Linked DNA regions of Nothobranchius furzeri. The protein of the gene in region 1 purifies or fractionates together with the protein of each later gene. This does not show direct contact. Links are inferred from orthologs where the notes say so. Each region holds a gene or a part of one and is shown in the gene's direction. Other genes may lie near its edges.

What was found.
Region 2: the proteins of nek2 (region 1) and anapc7 purify together in Homo sapiens (affinity purification with mass spectrometry; 3 studies listed by BioGRID and IntAct, with this or other methods). This does not show direct contact. The link is inferred for Nothobranchius furzeri from reciprocal best matches to the Homo sapiens genes NEK2 and ANAPC7.
Region 3: the proteins of nek2 (region 1) and anapc1 purify together in Homo sapiens (affinity purification with mass spectrometry; 3 studies listed by BioGRID and IntAct, with this or other methods). This does not show direct contact. The link is inferred for Nothobranchius furzeri from reciprocal best matches to the Homo sapiens genes NEK2 and ANAPC1.
Region 4: the proteins of nek2 (region 1) and anapc4 purify together in Homo sapiens (affinity purification with mass spectrometry; 6 studies listed by BioGRID and IntAct, with this or other methods). This does not show direct contact. The link is inferred for Nothobranchius furzeri from reciprocal best matches to the Homo sapiens genes NEK2 and ANAPC4.
Region 5: the proteins of nek2 (region 1) and anapc2 purify together in Homo sapiens (affinity purification with mass spectrometry; 4 studies listed by BioGRID and IntAct, with this or other methods). This does not show direct contact. The link is inferred for Nothobranchius furzeri from reciprocal best matches to the Homo sapiens genes NEK2 and ANAPC2.

Annotation. Positions count from the first base shown.
Region 1 is NC_091742.1:7,800,614-7,805,454, reverse strand, and holds the start of nek2 (serine/threonine-protein kinase Nek2), read left to right. Parts: upstream 1-1,873; 5' UTR 1,874-1,982; intron 1,983-1,990; exon of another isoform or gene 1,991-2,132; 5' UTR 2,133-2,148; coding exon 2,149-2,244; intron 2,245-2,742; coding exon 2,743-2,960; intron 2,961-3,025; coding exon 3,026-3,266; intron 3,267-3,533; coding exon 3,534-3,616; intron 3,617-3,697; coding exon 3,698-3,824; intron 3,825-3,987; coding exon 3,988-4,219; intron 4,220-4,788; coding exon 4,789-4,841. UniProt on the Homo sapiens protein: Protein kinase which is involved in the control of centrosome separation and bipolar spindle formation in mitotic cells and chromatin condensation in meiotic cells.
Region 2 is NC_091757.1:28,342,421-28,346,977, reverse strand, and holds the start of anapc7 (anaphase-promoting complex subunit 7), read left to right. Parts: upstream 1-1,501; 5' UTR 1,502-1,615; coding exon 1,616-1,716; intron 1,717-3,297; coding exon 3,298-3,484; intron 3,485-3,738; coding exon 3,739-3,858; intron 3,859-4,557. UniProt on the Homo sapiens protein: Component of the anaphase promoting complex/cyclosome (APC/C), a cell cycle-regulated E3 ubiquitin ligase that controls progression through mitosis and the G1 phase of the cell cycle.
Region 3 is NC_091752.1:26,832,831-26,836,913, forward strand, and holds part of anapc1 (anaphase-promoting complex subunit 1), read left to right. Parts: intron 1-837; coding exon 838-905; intron 906-1,059; coding exon 1,060-1,198; intron 1,199-1,696; coding exon 1,697-1,783; intron 1,784-3,907; coding exon 3,908-4,000; intron 4,001-4,083. UniProt on the Homo sapiens protein: Component of the anaphase promoting complex/cyclosome (APC/C), a cell cycle-regulated E3 ubiquitin ligase that controls progression through mitosis and the G1 phase of the cell cycle.
Region 4 is NC_091748.1:39,288,313-39,292,954, forward strand, and holds the start of anapc4 (anaphase-promoting complex subunit 4), read left to right. Parts: upstream 1-1,479; 5' UTR 1,480-1,658; intron 1,659-2,291; 5' UTR 2,292-2,299; coding exon 2,300-2,407; intron 2,408-2,489; coding exon 2,490-2,595; intron 2,596-2,664; coding exon 2,665-2,797; intron 2,798-2,880; coding exon 2,881-2,955; intron 2,956-3,033; coding exon 3,034-3,060; intron 3,061-3,145; coding exon 3,146-3,190; intron 3,191-3,290; coding exon 3,291-3,375; intron 3,376-3,594; coding exon 3,595-3,702; intron 3,703-3,776; coding exon 3,777-3,947; intron 3,948-4,642. UniProt on the Homo sapiens protein: Component of the anaphase promoting complex/cyclosome (APC/C), a cell cycle-regulated E3 ubiquitin ligase that controls progression through mitosis and the G1 phase of the cell cycle.
Region 5 is NC_091745.1:17,481,439-17,485,444, forward strand, and holds the start of anapc2 (anaphase-promoting complex subunit 2), read left to right. Parts: upstream 1-1,206; 5' UTR 1,207-1,389; coding exon 1,390-1,488; intron 1,489-2,011; coding exon 2,012-2,261; intron 2,262-2,430; coding exon 2,431-2,752; intron 2,753-2,830; coding exon 2,831-2,963; intron 2,964-3,028; coding exon 3,029-3,248; intron 3,249-4,006. Other genes in the region: E3 ubiquitin-protein ligase RNF25, read right to left, coding at 260-331, 546-658. UniProt on the Homo sapiens protein: Together with the RING-H2 protein ANAPC11, constitutes the catalytic component of the anaphase promoting complex/cyclosome (APC/C), a cell cycle-regulated E3 ubiquitin ligase that controls progression through mitosis and the G1 phase of the cell cycle.

The DNA of each region.
Region 1 (4,841 bases):
GGAGGTCTAAAAGCCACTCATAATCTCGATTACAGTCACCTCAGCCGAGGTGAGGAGGTCACTGTGGGATGGAGATATCTGTCCTCCTCCCTGTTGCCCCGGATCTCCTCCTCCTTTAACAGGGATGGCTGACATCAGAGCCGCCTCCAGCATCCAATCGTCTCTGTTGTTTTTAGCTGTCAGTTTTCCACTCGCTCCCTCCTCCTCTTCATCCTCCTCCTCCTCCCCACAACTGTTCCTGGCTGATGTCCAAACTCCTCCAGCTCTTTGGAGGAGTGACCTTTGCAGAGGCAGACTGACAGACCGGCTCTGGGATCTCACTCGATGTGTGGTGCTGGCAAGCAGAGAGGATAATCGGAATCGTTCCAGAAGACCGCTAACTAACAGAGATCCCAGAGACTGCATTTATCCCACGTGGGGATCACACGTTTAGAGGAATCATCTGTCACTGAGAGGATTTACTCCTCTCAGATTTGAGTTTTACAAGCCAAAACTAAAATTAAAGTTGCTTTTCCCTTGTTATGGGTTTGGGGAGAATGCAAAAAACAATCATTTAGAGCTTATCCTTGTTTAAAATGAAAATAAAAATGTTGATGCCTAAGTAGTCATAAAAGTTTTGGGGAGGAGAGATAAATGAAATAGATGAATTCCTTATTTAGGAGGTTTGAGTGGTTTAACAAAAAAGTTTTAGGACTTATGAGATGCCATTTTCAAAGTTAAACAGTTGTAATTTAACAGCAGTATTCTGGGGTATTTAGCCTATTATAGCCTCCAGAAATGGTCAGTTTTCATCTACAGTGTGCCCTCTTCAGTATCTGGTCATTTGGAGACATAAGTCTTAACTGGTGCTTTTAATCTGCAAGAAAGATACTGTTGCTTGCCCAAGGTCCCTCGCAAGCTCCCTCTTATCTAAGACTGCTTTGCTTCACAGAACAAGAAGGAGGAACTTTCATAATTAAATCATGTAATGAAATGAACAATATGAGTTTGTTTCTCTTCGTTTATTTCATTCAATCAATCAAATAAAAGTTACATAAAACAACTCATGTTCCCAAATAATCATAAATGAAAAGGAGCAGAAAGAAGCAAAAACTTATATCTGCCTCTTTTTCACATCAAGACATTACCCACCACCCCTCACACCCCCAACACAAAACAAGTCTATCAGCCTACTTAAGTTCTATTATTTCATCATGAGACATTTGACACTTTTTTAAAATACAGAAAATGATTTAGATTGTTTCATTTCACTGTCGAGACAATTTGTTACGTCCCCGACAGGTGTTGTAAAAATGTGAAGGATGGGGGTAACATAAGAACTGGTGGAGGAGTTTAAAATGGGTTTATTTGTAACAAAAAGGTTTTAAAAACACAAGCAAACAGATCTCTCTAAAAAGGCTAACATTACATAGCCAAATTATCAACTATAAAACACCTGCTTAAAACTTATATTAAAAGTTTAACCGAGCAGAAGGTGTTTTAAAATCACAAAGTTGATAAAAAGTCCCAAACAATTTACTGAAATATACAATGTTAAATTTATATGTTTTTATCACAACATCTATTCGTCAAAACACTTGTTTGATTTGTTCTATAAATATTGAAAAATATATATATGTATGTATATATATATATATATATATATATATATATATATATATATATATATATATATATATATATATATATATATATATATATATATATATATATATATATTAGATGTCATCATGGTCCTGTCATTCATACCATGGGTTTTAGCGCCATCGTGTGGACAGTTTAACAATAATACCGTCTACCCGCGCTACTATCGCGGTACTTAGGTACCTGACAACCTCGTGAGTTGTTTCTTCACATTGACCAATCCGAAGCCACAAGATGGAGCGAATGAGCCAATCACGAGCTGGTATTTCAGCACTAATTTTAAACAGAAGAAATACTTCCTGATTCTGAGAAACAAACAACACACAGAAGCGATTTAAGTGAGTAAATAATAAGTAAACGTACATTTCTATTTTTTTAATCATCTGGTCAGACAAACGATACTTTGCTAAAAATCTCAATAAGTTTTGAAGTTTCTGGTTTAAACGAGCTTTAAATCTTGTGTGAATCTGCCCTAACGTTGACGCTAGCGTTGACTAAAACAAGATGCCGACCCGTGTTGAGGACTACGAGGTGTTGTACACCATAGGCTCCGGTTCCTATGGAAGATGCCAGAAAGTGAGACGGAAAAATGACGGGAAAGTGAGTATGTCTCCAAACGAAGTCTAAAAAAAACAGCTGGTAAAATGTTTAAAGCAAGACGATTCGCCATAAAGTGCCTGTAGTTGTTCATTGCAGTGATTGGGACTCTTAACAGCTGAAAAAATGTGTGTGAAACATTAAAATAATTAAACATTTAGAATTTTAATAAGTTTGAAACACAGTCTGTATTGCTAATTACACCAATCTATCAAAATATACTCAGAATTAACACAATATAAGATTTTAAAAAAGTGCTGCAAAGTAGTTTATAGTTGCCAGATATATTCAACAGCCTAAGAGACCATTCACTTGCTCCTTTTGGAAATCTTTTGCAGCTTTTAATTAGTATTTCAGGATAGAAAGGATTTCATTTGACAAAAAGGCCCTTTTTACGTCTAGTGAATACATTTCATATCTGCCCCTTTTTTCTTAATTGGAGTAAAAACTGTATGTTTTCACGACAAAACTCTTTGTAAATGATGCCCATGTGTTCTGTAGATTCTGGTGTGGAAGGAGCTGGACTACGGCACCATGGCAGAGAGTGAGAAGCAGATGCTGGTGTCAGAGGTGAACCTGCTGCGGGAGCTCAAGCACCCAAACATAGTGAGATACTACGACCGCATCATAGATCGTACGAACACCACGCTTTACATCGTCATGGAGTACTGTGAAGGTGGAGACCTTTCCAGTCTCATCAGCCGGTGCATCAAAGAAAGGTAAGGGCTCACGAATGCGTCTGTCCTCTGTGAATCTGCAAAGTTACAAGTTAGTTCCTCTCCAGGCGTTACTTGGAGGAGAGGTTCATTCTGAGAGTTATGGCTCAGCTCACCTTGGCCCTGAAGGAGTGTCACAGGCGGCGTGACGGCAGGGCTACGGTCCTGCATCGGGACCTGAAACCAGCCAACATCTTCCTCGACATTAAACAGAACGTTAAGCTCGGTGACTTCGGTCTAGCAAGGATTCTGAACCATGACACCAGCTTTGCAAAGACTTTTGTGGGAACGCCGTACTACATGTCTCCTGTAAGTTACTTGATGATGTCACATCTGTTGAGCTTTTGATTATAAAAGTTTCTGGGATATTTGCAATTTTTGTTTTATTGTCTTCATTTGAACATATTACTAGAATTTTATTTATATTGTTTAGTTATGAATCATTTTCACCTGTATATGAGACGGTTGCTTTTCCAGATCTACAGTTTAAAAATAGATTTTACACATTAAAATAAACATTTAAAAATCTCTCTTTTTATAGAAATGACTCAATTTCAGTCATTATTGTTCTTGCAGGAACAAATTAACAGGATGTCGTACAACGAGAAGTCTGATATTTGGTCCCTGGGGTGCCTGCTGTATGAACTTTGTGCATTATTGTAAGCTCTTCCACACATTTTCCTTCCCTGTAGCAGTTTTCCAACACCCCTAAGAATATTCCCTGGGTTTTTCTCATTTAGGCCTCCGTTCACAGCGTACAACCAGCAAGACTTGGCAGAGAAGATCCGAGAGGGAAAGTTCAGACGAATCCCATACCGGTACTCTGAGGAGCTGAATGCCTTACTCAGCAAGATGCTCAACTTAAAGGTTTGGAATGAATTATTTAACAATGTTGTAATAGTGTGTAAGATGGCTGTGCACTTTTGTAGGCACTGTGCATGTTTTCCTGCTGTGATGATGCACAAATTTGAATTTTCCTCTGGGATCAATGAAGTATTTTTGAATTGAAATCATTCCTCACTGTTGGCAGGACTATCTGAGGCCGTCTGTGGAGTCGATCCTCCAGAGCAGTCTGCTGAGAGACGTGGTCTCCGAGGAGCAGAGGAAGGCACAGATACGGACCCAAAGGAAGTCTCCAGACCCTGACCGCGCCCCCCATAAGCCAGCTGAAGTGTCTATCCCAGCTGCAGAGCTCCGACTGAGGGAACAGGCAGTGCGGGACAGGGAACTCGCCCTGAGGGAGCATGAGGAGAGACTTGAGAGTAAGACTTGTGCTACACAAACATCATGTGTAACAGAACGGTAATATTTAACCCTGTTTCTAAGAAGTTGGGTCACTTTGTAAAAATGCAAATGATTAGCAACATATGTAGCCTTCTTTTGATTGTTGTGGAATTCATTATCTAGAAGAAGTTTGTTCCTCCACCTGCAAATAAAACGTTAAAGTTCCTAATGCTGATTTTAGAAAGAACTAAAAAGGGAGAATCTGTTTGGGGAATAAAGCAAAGTTTCCCCATTTTTGAAAAACAAACAAGCATTTGTTTCAGTAGGTGGCACTGATTTGAACCCTGTAGGTGATGTTCACAGCAATAAATAAATGAAATAAGCGTATCTGTAACTAAAGGTGCTGGTTAAAGACTGATGCGTTGTAGTCAAACCAATTTGTGTGGATGGAACTGGTTTATTATCTTTAACAAAAAACAAATATTACAGTCAAACGCTGACCTACTTCAGCCCCTGGCTTAACTGTGGTGTTAACATGTTGCAGAGTGTTCATGGAAACAACGTTGTTGTTGTTTTTTTTTTGTTTCCTTCTTTTCCTTAACTCCAGAAAGGGAGCAGGAGCTGTGTGTCCGTGAGAAACTGGCAAATGAAAAGCTAGCA
Region 2 (4,557 bases), on another chromosome or scaffold:
GAGCGCAGAGACCGCGTGGTTTTATACGGCAAAAGCAGTTCTGAAAGATAAGAAGGCCCAAGACCATTAAGACACTTAAAAACCGTTAAAGTATTTTAAAATTGATCCTGAAACATATGGGGAGCCAATGCAATGATTCTAAAACCGGAGTTATGTGCTCCCGCCTCCTGGTCTTCGTCAGGACACGTGCTGCTGAGTTTTGTAATAGTTGTAGACCTGAAATCCTCTTTTTAGGAAGACCAGAAAGCAGGGCATTGCAGTAATCTATCCTACTGGTGATAAACGCATGCATCAGCGTCTCCGTATTGACCCGAGAGAGAATGGGGCAGACTCTGGCGATGTTCTTTAGATGATAAAAACCTATTTTGGTGATATTTTTAATATGATGGATAAAAGTCAGCTCAGAGTCAAAAATGACACCCAGGTTCTTCACTTGTGAAGATGGATTAAAAGACAGTGATTGTAATTTTGGTAAAGTTTCTCTCTCTGGGTCTCAGGACCGATAACTAAAACTTCAGTTTTGTCCTGGATGAGCTGGAGAAAGTTTTCTGCCATCCAGGTTTTGATGTCTAAAATGCAGTTAAAAAGTGCATCCATTGGCCGTGTGTCATCAGGAGACACAGAGATGTACAGCTGTGTATCATCAGCGTAACTGTGGAAATTCACCCCGTGTCTCCTGATGACACTGCCAAGAGGGAGCATATAAAGGTTAAAAAGCACTGGGCCTAAAATTGAACCCTGGGGCATACCACATGTAATCCCATGAACCCTAGAGGAACAGGTATCCAGACTCACCATAAAAGTCCTGTCTGTGAGACCACAATTTATCTTTTGGCTTCTGCTCAGATTTCTACAGAGCCTGGCTGGGGTCAGGGCTTTTTCCACACTTGACCTCTGCCAGACTCCACATAGATATCTCCTGGTCATTGGAACAATGCATCACTGCAGCCGCCATATTGGGTCAGGGTACTAATGTCGATGGGTACAACACTACAACACTTGGGTCCTAAAGTCTGTCCACATATATAATCAACACAATTTTCTACTTGTTTAGTTTGTGAAATATCAGACATGGATTTTTTATATAAAAATCCTTAAGACAATTGTGCTTAATTAGGAGATTTGTTTTTAAAGACTTAATAAAATTACTAATTCCAATTAACTTTTTAGTATTTATTGCTAATCAGAGTAAATTTTGTCAGAATGTAAAATAAATAAATATTTTCCATATATGTTAAACCAATGAGAGTTGCGGTTTTCCTTCATGATGCGTTCCTGTCGGAAATGTCCAATCTACCCCTAACTTTTATTGTGAAATAAGTTACAGAATCGTTCTGCTTCAAAACCATGTTCAGAACTAGAAATAAAACTAAAAATCGAACACATTTACTTAACCACGTTTGAATCGTCCATGGACTCCAAAATACATCTCTGGTAGAATTTTGATTGTTAAGAAAACGAGCTGGCGAAGAGCTCCTAAATGCATCAGTGAGAGGAAGGGAGGTTATTCGGCGCCATATTTAATACATCAGATGCTAGCTGTCGTTAGCTATTTTGTGCTAAAAACTTTGAATCAGTCGTAGAAGCCCATAGCAAGACCTAACATTACACAAAAATGAATGTTGTTGACCACGTTCGGGATATGGCTGCGGCTGGTTTATACTCAAATGTTCGCATATTGAGCAGTTTGTTGCTGACGATGAGTAATAACAACCCGTAAGTAATTTTTGCAGGGACACGTCTATTTCCTGATGAGTGTTTTTGTACTTACCTGTGTTTGCTTGTTATGGGGGGAAAAATTCCGCAGTGATATCTGAAGACTAGGTTGGTGTCAACGGCAGCTGACATAGTTGAAAGCAACTGTTTGGCAATATTGTATTAAATTGTCACTCGAATGAACTGCGTTGATTTTCTGTGGTAAACACGCTGTTATTGTCCAAGACATAGTCACAGCCGAGGGTACAGCTGCATGTAACAGTGGCTCCAGCTGTTAAATAGTTCAGGACAAGTTGCCAGACACATTTGTGATTGTTCTAGTTTTCTTCTTTCTGTCGCTATGTTGTGGATCTGATTATTTTAATCCTTCATTTGAGCATTCATTTGAGTGATTACAATGTAAACCTTAGGGTGTTATTGTGGTTTATAACAAAAATATTCTTCTGTTACAAATTTCAAAAATATTTATTTTCATCCAGAAAGTCAGTGACAAAGAAAGTGATCAAATATGGACGCTGGCTCTGTTCTGGTAAATCCTAAAACAAAAGACACGAACAAGTTAAATACTATTTTTGAATAGTATAAATGATTATAAGAGACTCGAGAATAATCTAGCTAATTTTAGAACATTACATCACTGTAGAATTATACAGATTTATATCACAATTATTAAACAATATAATTTGTTTTTCTTAAAAACAGATTAGCATTTTAAAAAAATAAATGGAATATATTATTAGAATATTTTATATTTGATGATTTGCCTCACTATCTTCTTCTTGTTCATCATCATTATCATCACTGATTTTGAGATTGGCTGGCACAATAACTGTCCTCCATTTTACATAGAAGTCGTAGTTTAAAACAGAAAAATATATTCAGTATTCAGTACAATTGTTATTATTACTGTTATTATGATTATGTCTAAAGAACAATAGAGTTTACCTACAGATACACATAATTTGTTGTACTTGTTGAGGGTGTATGATCAAATATGACAGCTTTGATTTTCATGCTATGATTTCACCTACATCATTGAGTTTAACATTTACAACACACATATCCTTATTTAGCTAAACTAGTCAGCGTTATGATGTGTGCGTTTCATAACCCTGTTAGTTTTAGAGATCTGACTGTAAACATAAGAGGATTCTAAGCTGCAGGAAGGCAGTTTTCTGATCTTTCAGACACACCAATCTTTGGCGTGCTATAGCCCTGCAGTGATTGGTCAAACTGTGTCATGGCGCAAACTGTGACTAGCTTGATCCCTGGTGATTGGTTGGTGAAATCCCATAATTCTAAGAATCTGTGAAAAGGCGTACTGACATAATTAATGATGTGTGTGAAGTGTGTAAATATGAACGCTTGGCCTGTAAAGGGTTAAAAGCAGTAACTGCTTTTGGGCTGCTTAAATGCAGCATAAACAAATACTAAATGTTTTTTCATTCATTTTATTCACCATGTTTTAAAGAAATTTCCTGCTGTTTTTTACATTTTTACCATGAAGATCACAGAGATGAGATGTTTCTTTTCTTTTGTCTTTTATTAATCAAAACTAATATTTGTGTCTTATGATTGAAGGGAGCTGTTCTCTCCAGCCCAGAAGTATCAGCTGTTGGTTTACCATGCTGATGCCATCTTTCATGACAAGGAGTACCGAAATGCAGCTTGCAAGTACAATATGGCTCTTCAACAAAAAAAGGTGCTCAACAAAACGTCTAAAGTTCGTACTTCAACTGGTGGAGCAGCATCTAACATACAGGCACAGGTGTGTACTTAAATAGTTTCTGCTGAAAACTAGTTCATTACTAAATTTCTTATAATCTGGGATCTATGGTCTGGTCATATTGTCATAGATTCACAGATCTCAGAACAGTCTCACAATCACATACTGAAAACAACGGTTTAGTAGGCTCAACGTTGTCTTTTTAAAAAAATCACTAAACAGATTTGTTTCATTGTGAAGTGAAAATGTGCTTTTGATGTGCAAAGGCTATTCAAATTTGGTACCGTGTCTTGTAGAGTTTGCCATCAGAAATAGAAGTGAAGTACAAGATAGCTGAATGCTACACCATTTTAAAGCTGGATAAAGACGCCATCGCTGTGCTGGATGGGATTCCATCTAGACAAAGGACTCCAAAGGTAAGAGCTGGCGATTCAAACCTCAAATTCAATTCAAAAATACTTTATTAATCCCAGAGGGAAATTGATTTGTGGCTGCACAAGAAAATATCCTTAATGACATTTAATATCGGGGGTAATCAAAGTGAATATTGAATGCATTTCCATGGTTTTGTTGTCAAGTGAAAGTAGTTGAATACAAATCTTACAAAGAGCTCAATCCATCCCTCACGTGCTCCTCAGAAACGTGTAACTGCCCAGAGCATACAGATTATGGATGACCGTGGAGCAATCTCCCATTCTGTACTTTCTGCGGCAGTTGAAAAAGGCCAAGCTGCCGGCCCAGATGATGGTGCAGTTTTACACGGCCATCATTGAGTCCATCCTCACCTCCTCCATCGCTGTGTGGTACGCTGGAGCCACAGTGAGGGACAAACATAGACTGCAGCGCATTGTGCGCTCTGCTGAGAAGGTGATTGGCTGCAGCCTTCCATCTCTCCAGGACCTGTACGTCTCCAGAACTCGGGGGCGTGCAGGTCGGATTGCAGCTGACCCTTCGCACCCGGGTCACAGACTTTCTGAGCCGCTTCCCTCAGGCAGGAGGTTACGGTCCATCCAGACCAGAACCTCCCGCCATAAGAACAGCTTCTTTCCATCTGCCGTTAGACTTGTGAACAGCTTATAAATACACAACCATGCTGGTCTTCTGTACTCGACACA
Region 3 (4,083 bases), on another chromosome or scaffold:
TGTATAACATACGAAAGATCAGACCATACCTAGCACAACATGCCACCCAGCTCCTGGTGCAATCTACTGTCATCTCCCGCCTCGACTACTGCAACCTTCTAACTGGTCTTCCAGCCTGCACTGTGAGACCTCTTCAAATGGTCCAGAATGCAGCAGCGCGTCTGGTCTTCAGTTAGCCTAAAAGAGCAATTCACCCCTCTGCTCATTGAGCTTCGTTAGCTACCTCTGCTGCATGCATCCAATTCAAATCGCTACACTAGCATACAACGTCCTGTATGGTACGCCTCCCATTTACCTGAATTCTCTTGTAAAGGCTTACGTTGCGGCTCGACCGCTCCGGTTATCACAGGATCGTCGGCTAACAGTACCTACACCACATAAGGACAATCCATTATTTTCATGACCTACCAAGAACTACTAGAACAGGGGCGTCCTTGTCGATTTTCAAGACCCAGCTCTTCAGAGAGCATCTTCTAAACTAGGACCCTCCCTGCACCCGTCCCTCACTCTGTCTACTCCTTGTTCGCTTCCCTCAATGATTGATTATGCTGCCTCACTGCCACCTGGATTGACTGATTTAGTATTTTGTTGTTAGCCTCAAGGGCAACTTGCTAGCTTCATTATCACTTGTAAGTCTCCGTGGACAAAAGCGTCTGCTAAATACATAAACATAAACCACCCAGTAGTTCCTGAGTGCAACCACTGCGGCAGTTCACTGCTCCCCATGGGGATGGGTCAAATGCAGAGAAGTGATTTCAGCTGTATGTGATGATGAATAATGGAACTTTATTATTCCTTTTTATTTCCACTTCCATTTGCTACAAATCTTCATTGTAGGTGAAGGTGAAGGGGCCTCGTTACTGGGAGCTGACTCTGGATCTGAGCAAAGAAACACATCATCTGAAGTAAGTAAAGAGGAAACATGTAAGGAAATAATTCTTTGCAAAGGAGAAATGTATTTCTGTTGAATTATACAGCTGTCCAGGATGCATTTACATAATGTAACATTTCTCACCTTTCAATAAAACGTTGTACTACTTTCTGAAATGTTGCTTTCAGGTCCATCCTATCCCAGGACGGGGTGTTGTATGTAAAACTGCGGGCCGGGCAGCTTCCCTACAAAGACGACCCTCAGGGATGGAAGAGTCTACTGACCACAGCTGTCAACCACAGAAGCTCTGGAGTCACAGCCTTTAAGGTGGAATGTATCTTATTCCTATAGGCTTCGTATTTCTGAACAAACTGCATCTATAATCAGAGATTTAGCCAGATAGTTTTATTTGCTTCATATTACATTTAGGTAGTCTGCAGATTACAGAAACTGTTACAGGTCCAGCTCTGAATAAATGCGTATTAATTGTTAATCCCTTTTTTGTTCCTGAAAAGAAAATTCAACATTTTTTGATATCGTAAACTGTGTTTGCATTTCGTGTAAATTTGAATAGACAATTTCCTCGTGAGCTTGGTATGCATTAAAACACATGCAGAGGAAAACATTATTGACTCCATTTGTCCTCAGTGTCCTTTCTTACTTCTCTTACAATTCGTTTAGTTTCTTATAACCCTTTTTGACCCAGTTTATCTCCTGTAACTTCATTTTTGAGGCACCATTCCTTCTCAAAGTCCTCACTGTTTTATTATTTTATACATAAGATTTTGCTGAACAAGTTCAATAATTTTGTGCGTGTGTCCACAGCCTGAAACCATCTCAACTTTCACTTCTAACCCTGCCCTCATCTCCTTTGCGGATTTCTTCTGTAAAACATCTGAAGGAATGAAACATGTGAGTCTTGTGCTGAACCCAGACGTAATCGTGTGTTGGTGGCCTAGCTGCCTTGTTTTTGATCAATGACAGGAAATGATTAGAATGAGAAAAAAAGTTTTTATTTTAGCAATTTAGAGTTTTACTCTTAATTGGATATTAGAAAATCAAAACTACATAACTGAATGTGACATCAGCTCTTGATGGTAACGGGTCAGTTGTTTGCGCTCTGAGCTGCATCACTGAGGAGAATATTTGGCTGCTTTTTATTCAAAAAATAGATTTTTCTACCCTGGAAAACAACCAGTTATGTTTTGTCTTTTTAAAGGTGCAATATGAGATGTTTTCCTAGCTACTATCTAAAGGTCCAACTAGGGCTGCTCGATTATGGCAAAAATAATAATCACGATTATGGTGACTGAAATTGAGATCTCGATTATTTAAGACGATTTTTCAATTAATGTTGATTTTATTTGTTTTTATTCAGTCTTAAAATTGCTCAGGGAACAATCAGGACAAAAATAAATAATAAACAAGATGATCACTGAAATAACTCCTGATTCCCAGTATAAAAAGACCAATATTACTTACAGCTCATAGTCTATGACCCAAGGGCTATAGACCTTGGTTTAACTCATTTAAGTCTAACCAGTACAGACCCAAATACCAATATCTTGCAAATACTGACAGCAAGAATTATGCAGTGGCATTTATAACAAATGCATGCAAATTGATGTTCACAAAATGTTGCATAACATTTATTTAGTCATGTCAATGTGCTGTAGGAGAGTGCACTAGCACCGTGTCCTCAGAGAGATTAGTTATTATTTATCAGCGTGAGGAACTTATTTCTATCTATTTCTACCTTATTTATAAACTATTTACAGGTCCATCAGTTAATGTAATAATTGTCCCAACCACAGCTGCACTCTTTTTTTATTTTTTGTGTAGGCGAGGTGGGCAAGGTGGCTTTGCTGTTTATGAAATTAAAGAAAGTGGCATGCTGACCAATCGCAAGCTTGCGGTCTTAGCTGCCTTTTGACTGACGGTTCAAAAGTTTCACGCCTCCGTCACCCTTTGCTTCAACGCATGGTGGTGTTGCTTCTCTCTGTCACAACAACCTTAAAACCACCCACTGCTGCATTACTTGCATTGAGTTCTGCAGTTTCTCAGTCCCATTGCTGGGCTCTACTTCAGTTCTTCTCCTGCTGTCCTGCTGCCTGCAGCCTTTTCTGGTCTAATCCGGGTTGTAGCTGCTTCATAATTTGCTGTGTCTTTGTAAACTGCTCCAAAACTCTGCTGAGTCTAGTTACTTCTGCAAACACGCGTGTGCACGCTCTGTGATGGACACCTGCACATAAGCGGATGTCTAATGTTATTGGCTAATGCTGAATTAAGGTCTGTAGTGGTTGGATTATGTTTCTTGACCAAGTTTTACACGGCTGATAAACAGCTGCCTCATCATGACATCAGGTGTTTGTGTAGTTTACTGAGGTCAGTCGGTTCATCCTTCACACTAAACCTCAAGAAGTTATTCTGTGGTGTAGCTTCCACATCGTGCATTTGAATTTAACAAAATGTATGTTTTTATCAGCCCTGTCTCTCTAATTCTCCATCTGCTGGTAGCCTGACCTCAGTTATTAGACATCAACCTTTTGGTTTTTATTTTATTTTAGATGGAATACTGTTTTCTAGCATTTAATTGTAAGATTGTTTGTTGATTCTTGTCTAATTTAGCATGAAATAAGCTCATATATTGTTGATAATTGATTTAGCCTGATGTGACCTGGTTTTGAAGTTTGTGGAAATAAGTTAATCATTTAAGAAGATGAAATTAACTTGTACCAAGTAGACGACTTCCAAATTAAAGAGCGCAGAAACGGATTATTACTTGTTGAGTTGATGGAGCTGCAAATCAGATACATCACCTAATAGCACCACAGTGTGACTGTGCAATTTAAAAGTCAATACATTTAAGAGAATACACTCGAGTCCTCTCTGTGGTTGTGCATAACAACAGATGTTTACTTGAACTTAATATTGCAAACTTACCATGAAGAATTCCAGGAAGAAAACAGAAATCTGAACAAACATTTCTCTTATTAGAGGATGAAACACTGAATCCTGCTCTCTTGTGTCTGACAGAGGAAGGACACCCACATGTTCTCAGCTATGCTCTACGAATGCGTGACGCAAGAGTGTCCAGAGATGCTGCCAACGTACATCGCCATTGAGCAGGTAACGCCCAAACCCAACTAAAACATGCACTAAGCTGCGTGAGGACAGCAGATGATCGCTTATGCAGCAGTCGGCAATTAATC
Region 4 (4,642 bases), on another chromosome or scaffold:
TGAAACTGATGCTCCACTATTGTTACCATTTGATTAATTTCTGTTAAATAATTAATAAACCTACCTTCAAGTGTGCTGTGTGTCCTAGTCCTCCTTCCTGGTTTTACTGGGTCCAGGTTTGTCTTGTTTATGTGAGAAAGAAACAAAAAGAGGCTTTGCCTCTCTCCCCAGAAGAGCAGCCTTATTGGTCAGATGACAGGTAGGATCTTTCAGGTTTAGGGTCCAATTGCGTTCTGCCTCTGCAGTGGGCTGCTGTCCCATCTGTGCTGGTCCCTAACTGCTCTCTGAGTGGGGCTAAATTTGGCCCCTAGCTCATGTTACACAGCCAGACTGCTGGCAGGAGCAATGAAGACTGAGGGGGTCTAGGTGAACAGAAGGAGCTCAAGGTGTTGGTTAATTATACACAGAAAGCACAGGATGTTGGGATGGCTAAGTTTCACACCAATTGTGCTGTTGTATGCAAGTACAACAGAATGTTTGTAATCTTTTATGATAATCTGAACTGGCCACATCTGAAAACACACAATAATCACCCATTGACCTCTCAGACTGAGCTGGTTCCTCCATGGCTTTAAAACAACTCAAAATTATTATGAGGATCTTGAAGAACCCGGTCACTATTCGGTCCGATTCCATTCTGCACACACATATGGAATGATGCTCAGCATTTTTGTTAAACTTCATGCATTTCCTGATTTCTCACCAAGCGAGACAGATATCCTGGGCCTTGGAAAGAATAAACCATGACCACCATGCAGCCTCACTTGGTCTATTTCTAGTCCACCATCACATTTTGTGCTCTCTGAGCTATTCTGGCTCTTCTTCATTCTGCTGATTACAGTTAAGTGCTGCTGATAAGTCCAGTAGGAGTTTCCATATACACTCACAATACACACGTGTGCAAACACTTGGTGAGTAATTTGGATTTCTACTTGACAATTGTCATCACCCAACCCTCTGTATGAAGTGTTATTTATAAATAACTACTTTATCCAATGGCGACGTCTCCATATAACATGTGTACAGCATCTATTTATGAGTACTGAAATATTTTAGCATAGTTTTATATCACCAGAATGAAACCACCCTTGCAAACTTTCCTATATTTCTAATGGAATTAATATAATTTAGTCAACCTTGAATTTTATGATCACTTTTAACTTTTAAATCCAAACAAATTCTAAGCAATGCATTCAATTGACAGAGAAGTACAAAAACACATTATGAAAAAACTTATTTTATATTTTGTCCTAAACCCTCAAAGTTTAAATCTACTTTTTAATCTGCATAGAATATAACATTTATTAAAAAATAAAAATAGGACCAAAACGTTAACTTTAATTTGTTTTAAATCCTTACCAAAGGCGCCATCATGGGGTGCAAATCTCTAGACATATTTAGGAATCGAGTTTTTTTTTATTCCCCCCCCCCCCCCCCCCTTCTGAATACGTTTGTCTCTTCTCGGCTGCCGTTGCTCTACAGGGATTGGTGGAAGTAGAAATATGGCGGTGTTTGAGTGACTGCGAAAATATTACGATGAGATATTAAATTCGTATATTTACGATTTGGGTTTATTTGGTGTTATCGTCTGGTCGGGTTAAAATAATCGCTGTGAATCATCAGTTTTACCTGCTAGCTAACAGCTGTTAGCAAAACCGGTGAGTGAGGCTCCAGCTAACGAGCGGCTAATTTATGCTTCATAAAATGAGTTGGAAATGGAAAAGTGTTGTGCCTTTAGCTCCCTTTTTGTTTTTGAATCTCGTTAAGTACTTCAATGTTTTCTCTTTTAGTTGTGACCCTGAAAACTCTACTGTTATCACGCAGAAAACACATAAATGTTTCAAAGCTCGTCTCCATCGCAGTGTAATTTAAGGTCTCGTTGCTCTCCGCATTGAGTTGTATTGTTTAGTGTGTCTTATTGCTGACGTCATGCTCATAACTCGGTTCTTTCATTACTGATTCTTGACTCTGCATTTGGGCCTCTGTATTCAAATGCTAACATTTCTATTTTTCTTTATTGTTACAATTATTTATTATCTTTACAGAAAAAGATTTTTAATATTTAATAATCAGTTGTATATTCAATAGTAAACGAAATATTGAAAAGGTATGTGATTTTTGATGATTATTCTGTTATGCATGTACAGGTTTATTAGATGTTTTACAGATCACTCATTGAATCTGTTCTCACTTTTAATAGCCCATCTTGGTACATCTTCTAAACCTTGTAATTAGGCCCCTGCTGGCCATTTATCACACAATAATGAATGTAAACTTTCTTTCTTTTTCAGCTAACAACATGCCTGCCTTTCGGCAAGTGGGAGAGAAGCAGCTTCCAAACCCGGTCCTCTGTATGGCATGGTCTCCAAAGAGGGATCTGATAGCTCTGGCCAACACAACTGGGGAGGTGACTTTAAATCCCTAACTGTTCTGAATCAAGGTGACTGTTTCCTGTTGTTTGGATGGTTTATTATTGTGATTTTCAACAGGTGCTACTGCATCGCTTGGCTAGTTTCCACCGGGTTTGGAGCCTACCACCCAGTGAATATACTGGAAAGAAGATAACCGCACTTGCTTGGAGGCCTGATGGCAAAAGTAAGGGATTTTTTTTTATCACATTTTTGTCTTAATGGAATTGTGAGAATTTGTTTTTTGTAACCCCAGTATTGGCCTTCAGTCTTGGAGACACCAAGCAGGTTGTCCTTTGTGGGGTTGAGAAAGCAGAGATCCTCCACATGTTTCCAGTGCAGAGTCCTGTAACCTGTATGAACTGGATGGAGGTGATGGAGGAGAGCAGGTAATCAGGAAGCTCAACAAACATACCACGTTCTGTGAAATCTTGTCAAAGCTGATATGAAGGATTTTTTGTGTGTGATTCAGTGTCCTCAGCTCCTTTTACACTTCAGAGGATGAATCTAAACTTTTTCTTCCTAAATTACCAACTCTTCCCAAGAGGTAAAATTAAAAATGTTGTCACAAGAAAAGACATTTTGGATTGACTGGCCTGATATTTGTCCAAACTTTTGTTTTCAGCTACAGCACAACTTCAAAGATCTTCAGGTGGGACATCTTTTTTTTTTATCATAGATGTATGTGGCATGTATAGCACAAACAGAAACTGACTGCATTCATTTCTGTTTCACAGTGAGGAGAAGTCTGATGAGATACTCAACCTCCTTGGAGAAGTGAGGTAAATATGGTTAGAGTCACTTACTGCCAGGAGCAAATGGACATCCTTAAGATATTGGAATTTTTATTTATGGGAACCAATGAAAGCTGTCTCCATGCAGACTAAATGTACTTGTTCTTGGAGGAGATGGTGGAAATGTGGAGCTGTATGCGTACGGGATGTACAAGATTGCAACGCTGGATGGGGTAAGGCAGCTCTGTTTGTTCAGATGAGTTGTTCCATTTGTCGTCTGTAAAAAAAATTTACCAAAAATGTTTTTAAGTGACTCTAAAGTTAGCATAGATATTTGAAATCATAAAAATTCTAATTTAAATGCAGGAAAAAAGTAGCTAATTATGCCAAAAATCTTTAGTAGACGGCATTAACGGATTTGACTGTGACTTTAATTGATGAACTTTCTACAGGTTTCAGGAACATGTCGCAGTCTGAGTCTGTCGAGTGACCTCAAGTCTCTGTCTGTCATCACAGAAGTCAAGTCTGCTGACAGCAGCGCAGACATCTGTTACGTCCAGGTGAGATGGACACGTTCCTCCTCCACACTTTGTTTTTCTTTCCTTTAACTCTAACTTCCCTCCTTGTGTTTCAGCTGGACACAGGATTGTTGTCGGACTGTTTGCCTGAACTCACCAGGATGGCGCGTAAGTTCACTCACATCTCCACCCTGATGCAGTACCTGCACCTGTCACTCACATGCATGTGCGAAGCGTGGGAGGACATCCTCCTGCAGATGGATCATCGTCTCACTAAGTTTGTTCAGGTCAGTTGTTTTTGTTTCCTGTCAGAGTTTTTCCTGGCAGACCACCACACTTCCTGCCTGCTGTGTGAGTTTGTTGGACAATTAGCAGAATTTAGCATGTGTGCTTATTAGTGATGGGATTTATAGCTCTTTCAAGGCGGCTGCTCGTTAGTTGTTCGTCTACCTTAAAGAGCAGTTCAAAAGACTAGATCCCTTGAACGAAGCCATGGGGGTGTATTTGGGAGCAACGTGTTCCTCCGGTGTCCATGAGGGCGCGCGGAGAGTGGGTGTCACAGCAGTGGTGGGGGTTGAGCGGCTAGGGGGGTTGTCGTTACAGGAAGACAAGATGAACGGCTCTCCACGGGGACTCAGCTCTCATCGTTCACTTTGAAATCTCATTCAAAAGATTTGATTTGTTCGTGAACGTCCCATCACTAGTGCTTATAAATTATACAATTTTCAGTTTTTCTGTCTTTATCGCAACCAATTTTGTTTTTATGTTTTAACCCTCTGGAGGCAGGCGTTGCAGATTTGCCTACCTGGTTACTCCACACACGTGTTTCATGAGCATTTTTTAACTCCGAAGTTCCCCTGAAGGACTTAGTTGTTCGTCCTTTTATCGAAACTCATTTTGAGCCTGAGAGGGTTAAGAGTTCAACACTTGAGGGAGGAAGACAGAGCAGCTTTTTCTAGCTATGCTGCAAACATACGGTCTG
Region 5 (4,006 bases), on another chromosome or scaffold:
TGTTTTGATTGCTAATAATTTTTTATACAGATGCATTTAATTCTGGTTGACTGTCATTAAATTAAACCCATGGTAAGAGTTAAAAAATATATATACATATATATAACATAATCAGCTGAGTTTTTTCCCATCAAATAGATTTGGGAGACATTCTTATCCCTTTGTTGCAAATATTTAACGTCTTCATATCATTATTTGCTCACATATAACCCAACCAGTGATTTATAACACAAAGATGTTCTGAAATGAGCAGATTTACCCCTCGTCCCTTCTGTCCACCTTCAGCTCGTCCAGATAGATGGACTGCAGAACCTCGATCTCAGACTGAACACTGTAAACAAAAACGGTTTTCGGCTTATTTACTGTTTTTAGCCTGGCCCTTTTGACGTAACCTGTTAGCTTCCCCTTCAGCTAGCTACAACACCTACGACATTTCATCCGATTGTACCGAGAACAGCAAACCTTAATGTGCGGGAGCGTGCGGGTAAAATTCAAAGCGTGTCATGAATATTTTGAAGGAATTTTTGCCATATCAACAAACTCACTCGTACTCGGTTGCCATGATGATGTCTCTGCTGCTAGCTGCTGCTAAGGCGGATACGGTTTTCACACAACCTGTCAAAATAAGAGACACGACGGCGTTTAAAAGACATGTCATGATCCAGTTTTTAAAAATGTTTATTTATTTATTTATTATTTATAGCTGTATTTGTGTGCATTAAGCATCTATGGTCTAAGGAGCTTTGTCTTCAAGCAACTCAAAGAAGTCCAGACGCTTTTCTTTCAAAGCTCCTTAGACTACAATGACCTGGATGACTGAGAACCTTCACAGACATTAAGCATCTATATTACTCTCTAAGATATGTCGAAATATTTATTGATATTAACATCCGTTTCGAAAGATTTTATTTAAATTTTATACAAAAATAAGTACAGTTTCATAACATTTGGCCTTTACTGACACCTGGTGGAGTTTGTATAAGCAATTTTGAAATGTTTTATTTTGTAGTTCAGTTCTGTCAACTTGTGTCTGTGGCCGGCTGTAGTGATTATTCTAACCGCTAGAGGGGGCGAGTAAACATTAAAACCGATTCAAACTCAACAAATACTTTTTACGGACGGTACCTGCAGGGGGCAGTGTCCACCCCTGTAGCATGTAAGTGATAAAAAAAAGTAGAAGAAGTCAACCCGCCATACCATGTTCATATCTGTATTGTAAATTACTATTTGCTTGAATGGAAAAGTTATTATTTAGTAAACTCGTTGAAACACGGTTGAGACACGGGGCATGCTTTTTACACATAGCGCCGCGGTAAGACAAGACATGCTGAGGTTTAAATGCTGAATCTACAGGAGCCGGTTCGGCATTTGTGAAGAAAGTGTCATAAAATGGAGGAAATGATGATGGAATCGGATTCGGTGGAAATGTCTGAGCCCGGAGCGCTCCAGGGGCTCGCTGAGGCGTGGGAATCCGTGACTGCAGCTTTGGTGAGTGGGTCAGAGCCTCGGACACGAGCAACCAAACACTGAATGAAGTGCTGTCACAAGACTCCATTCGTAAATCACACGATTGAATGATGTTTTGGATTTTACATTGGTTTATTAAGGGCTAGACACAAAACTGGCGTTATAAATAGTCAGCAGGAGTATTCGGTGGATTTCGGCTTACATTTGTTGACGTCATCGTGTTTACTGACAACTTTACTCCATGCAAAGAAAAATGGGTTGACTACTAACAACTCAATATTCATAAGTTTGAGTCAGCCATTTAGTTAAAAACAAACACAAATGACATGTCGAAAAAGGCTTATATTAAACACCTATATTATAATAAAATGTGTATTTTATGTTGGAAATGATTTTGCTCTTTTACTCAGTTCTGATTCCATCTCTCATCCATTCCTACATTAACCACCTGCCCCTGAATACCAGACATCCAGCAGCCCTTTTCTGGTTGGAGATGATTCTGTGGTGGATTTCATACCACCATTCTGTTTGGGTCCTTCTCTAGGTGTCTTCTGGATGCCCGGTGTCTGACCAGAGCCTCTCTGACTCCTTGCTTCTGCTCTGCAGTCATGGTTTGGGCCGACTGCTCGGGATCTGGCTGCTGGAAACTTTGCAGATGCGCCTGTCGTCCTCGGTGGTTCCAGAGTTCTGGTCTTGCCTGAAACAGCCGGAGAACGAGCTGGAGGAAAAAGATCGAGCATGGGTTCTCCTCACTGCTTTTAGGACTCTGTTGGACCGCCTGGAACCTTTTCTGAGCAAGTAGAACAAATACAGTAGTGATGACCTTGTCCTTGAATCTTTAAGATTTTATTCCAACTTCTAAAGTTGTTTGGATTTTTTTTGCTTTCCAGACTTTCACTATATTATTTTGTGGATAAAACCAAAGAGGAACAGGTAATTAGTTTCCCATCTCCCTCCATGCAGGTGGTTTGGAGAAGCTTGGGGCGTGGCAGGATGAGGGTCGTGGTGGTCTGTGTGGTCCAGGTCCCAGTGGCCTCCAGGAGCGAGCCTTCACCACCATCAGAGCCCTCCTGCTGTTCTCTCCTCCCCCCATTCTGCAGGAGCGAGTGCTGGAGTTTTACAGCAGGACTTTCTCCGTCTACATGAAACTGGAGGGCAGCGATGAGGATGTGGCCGAGGCTCCAGACAGCCCCAGTGGAGGGTCCTGCCCAGGGTGTGGGGTCCCGGTCCTGAGGTGCTGGTGTCAGGAGGCCCTGGAGCAGCTGCAGGAGCTCAGCCACATACTGTGAGAGGATCTCACTGCTGATTGTTTCTGCTGTTGCTTCGTCCGGATGAATGTTTGATCAGCTGTTTGTGTTTGTAGACTGAAGCTACAGCTGCTGGAGTGGGTCAGCTCAGAGGCCATCACCTGCATCCTCCACAAGCTCATCGAGCAGCGGATGGAGCAGCATTGCCGGGGCGAGTACGAGCGCTCCTTCTTGCTGGACTTCCAGGAGGTAAAACCCCTTTTCCACCGTTTCCTCTCCTGTCTTCATGTTCTGACGCTCTTCTGTCCCTGCAGTGGCTGGAGCTGGTTCTTGGCTGGCTGAGCAAAGTGTTCGCCAGTGAGGTGGACGGAGCCACTCCTGTTCCTGCTGCTCCCAGTGGTCCCATTCAGTCCAGCATCCAGGGCACCCAGCCTGCCAGCTCCATCATGAAGCAGTGGAGATGCCACATGCATCAGTTCTTCTGCAGGATCTACGTCAACATGAGGATCGAAGAGCTCTTCAGCATCATCCGAGGTGAGACCTGAGGAGAGGAGGTCATGTTTTATCTTCATTATGTGGCTGATGCAGTGATGGTTTGTTTGTGTTTATAAATAAGGTCAGAACGTTAAACCTGCTTTCTGAGGCTTTGTGTTTAACGTTATCAGAGATCTTCTGTGTTTCATCAGAGCAACAAGCAACCATCTGGTCATTTAGAGATAATTTAAAATGTTTAAATTTTTATTGTTTTAAATTAAAGGGACTGTACGGAAGTGTGACAGCCAAAACATGTATAGAAATAATAAATGTCTTCTTCATACATTCTCCTGCAATGCCCTGGTCCTGTAGAATGAGCCCTGGCATTTTTACTGTGATTGCCTGTTTTTCTGTAAAATCACAGAAAAAGAGAGATGCTCGGGTCGAGCAGGCTGCTTCATGCGCGTTCACGCTCAGGCATAGCCCGTAGCATTTGCTATCCGTAGCTTTAGCAGCAGAGAGAGAGGCAGTGCCAACTTCCTAACGCCTAGTAACAAACCTAGCTATATTTCTGAGGACCCTTAGCTACTTTCTGTAGAACTTTCTTCTAGATATTTCCTGCAAATTAGCAACAAAATAGCCATTTTCGCTTCGAACCGTTCTTTGAACGTTTCAGCTGTCATCAAGGATATAAAAGTTATAGATACTGTGAATGTTACTAGAGTGTAGCTCACCTTGTAAGATGTCTGACTCTCATGCAGAAGACCCGGGTTAGATTCTGGATGTGAACATAGTTTATTTAGAGTTTATTTTTTACA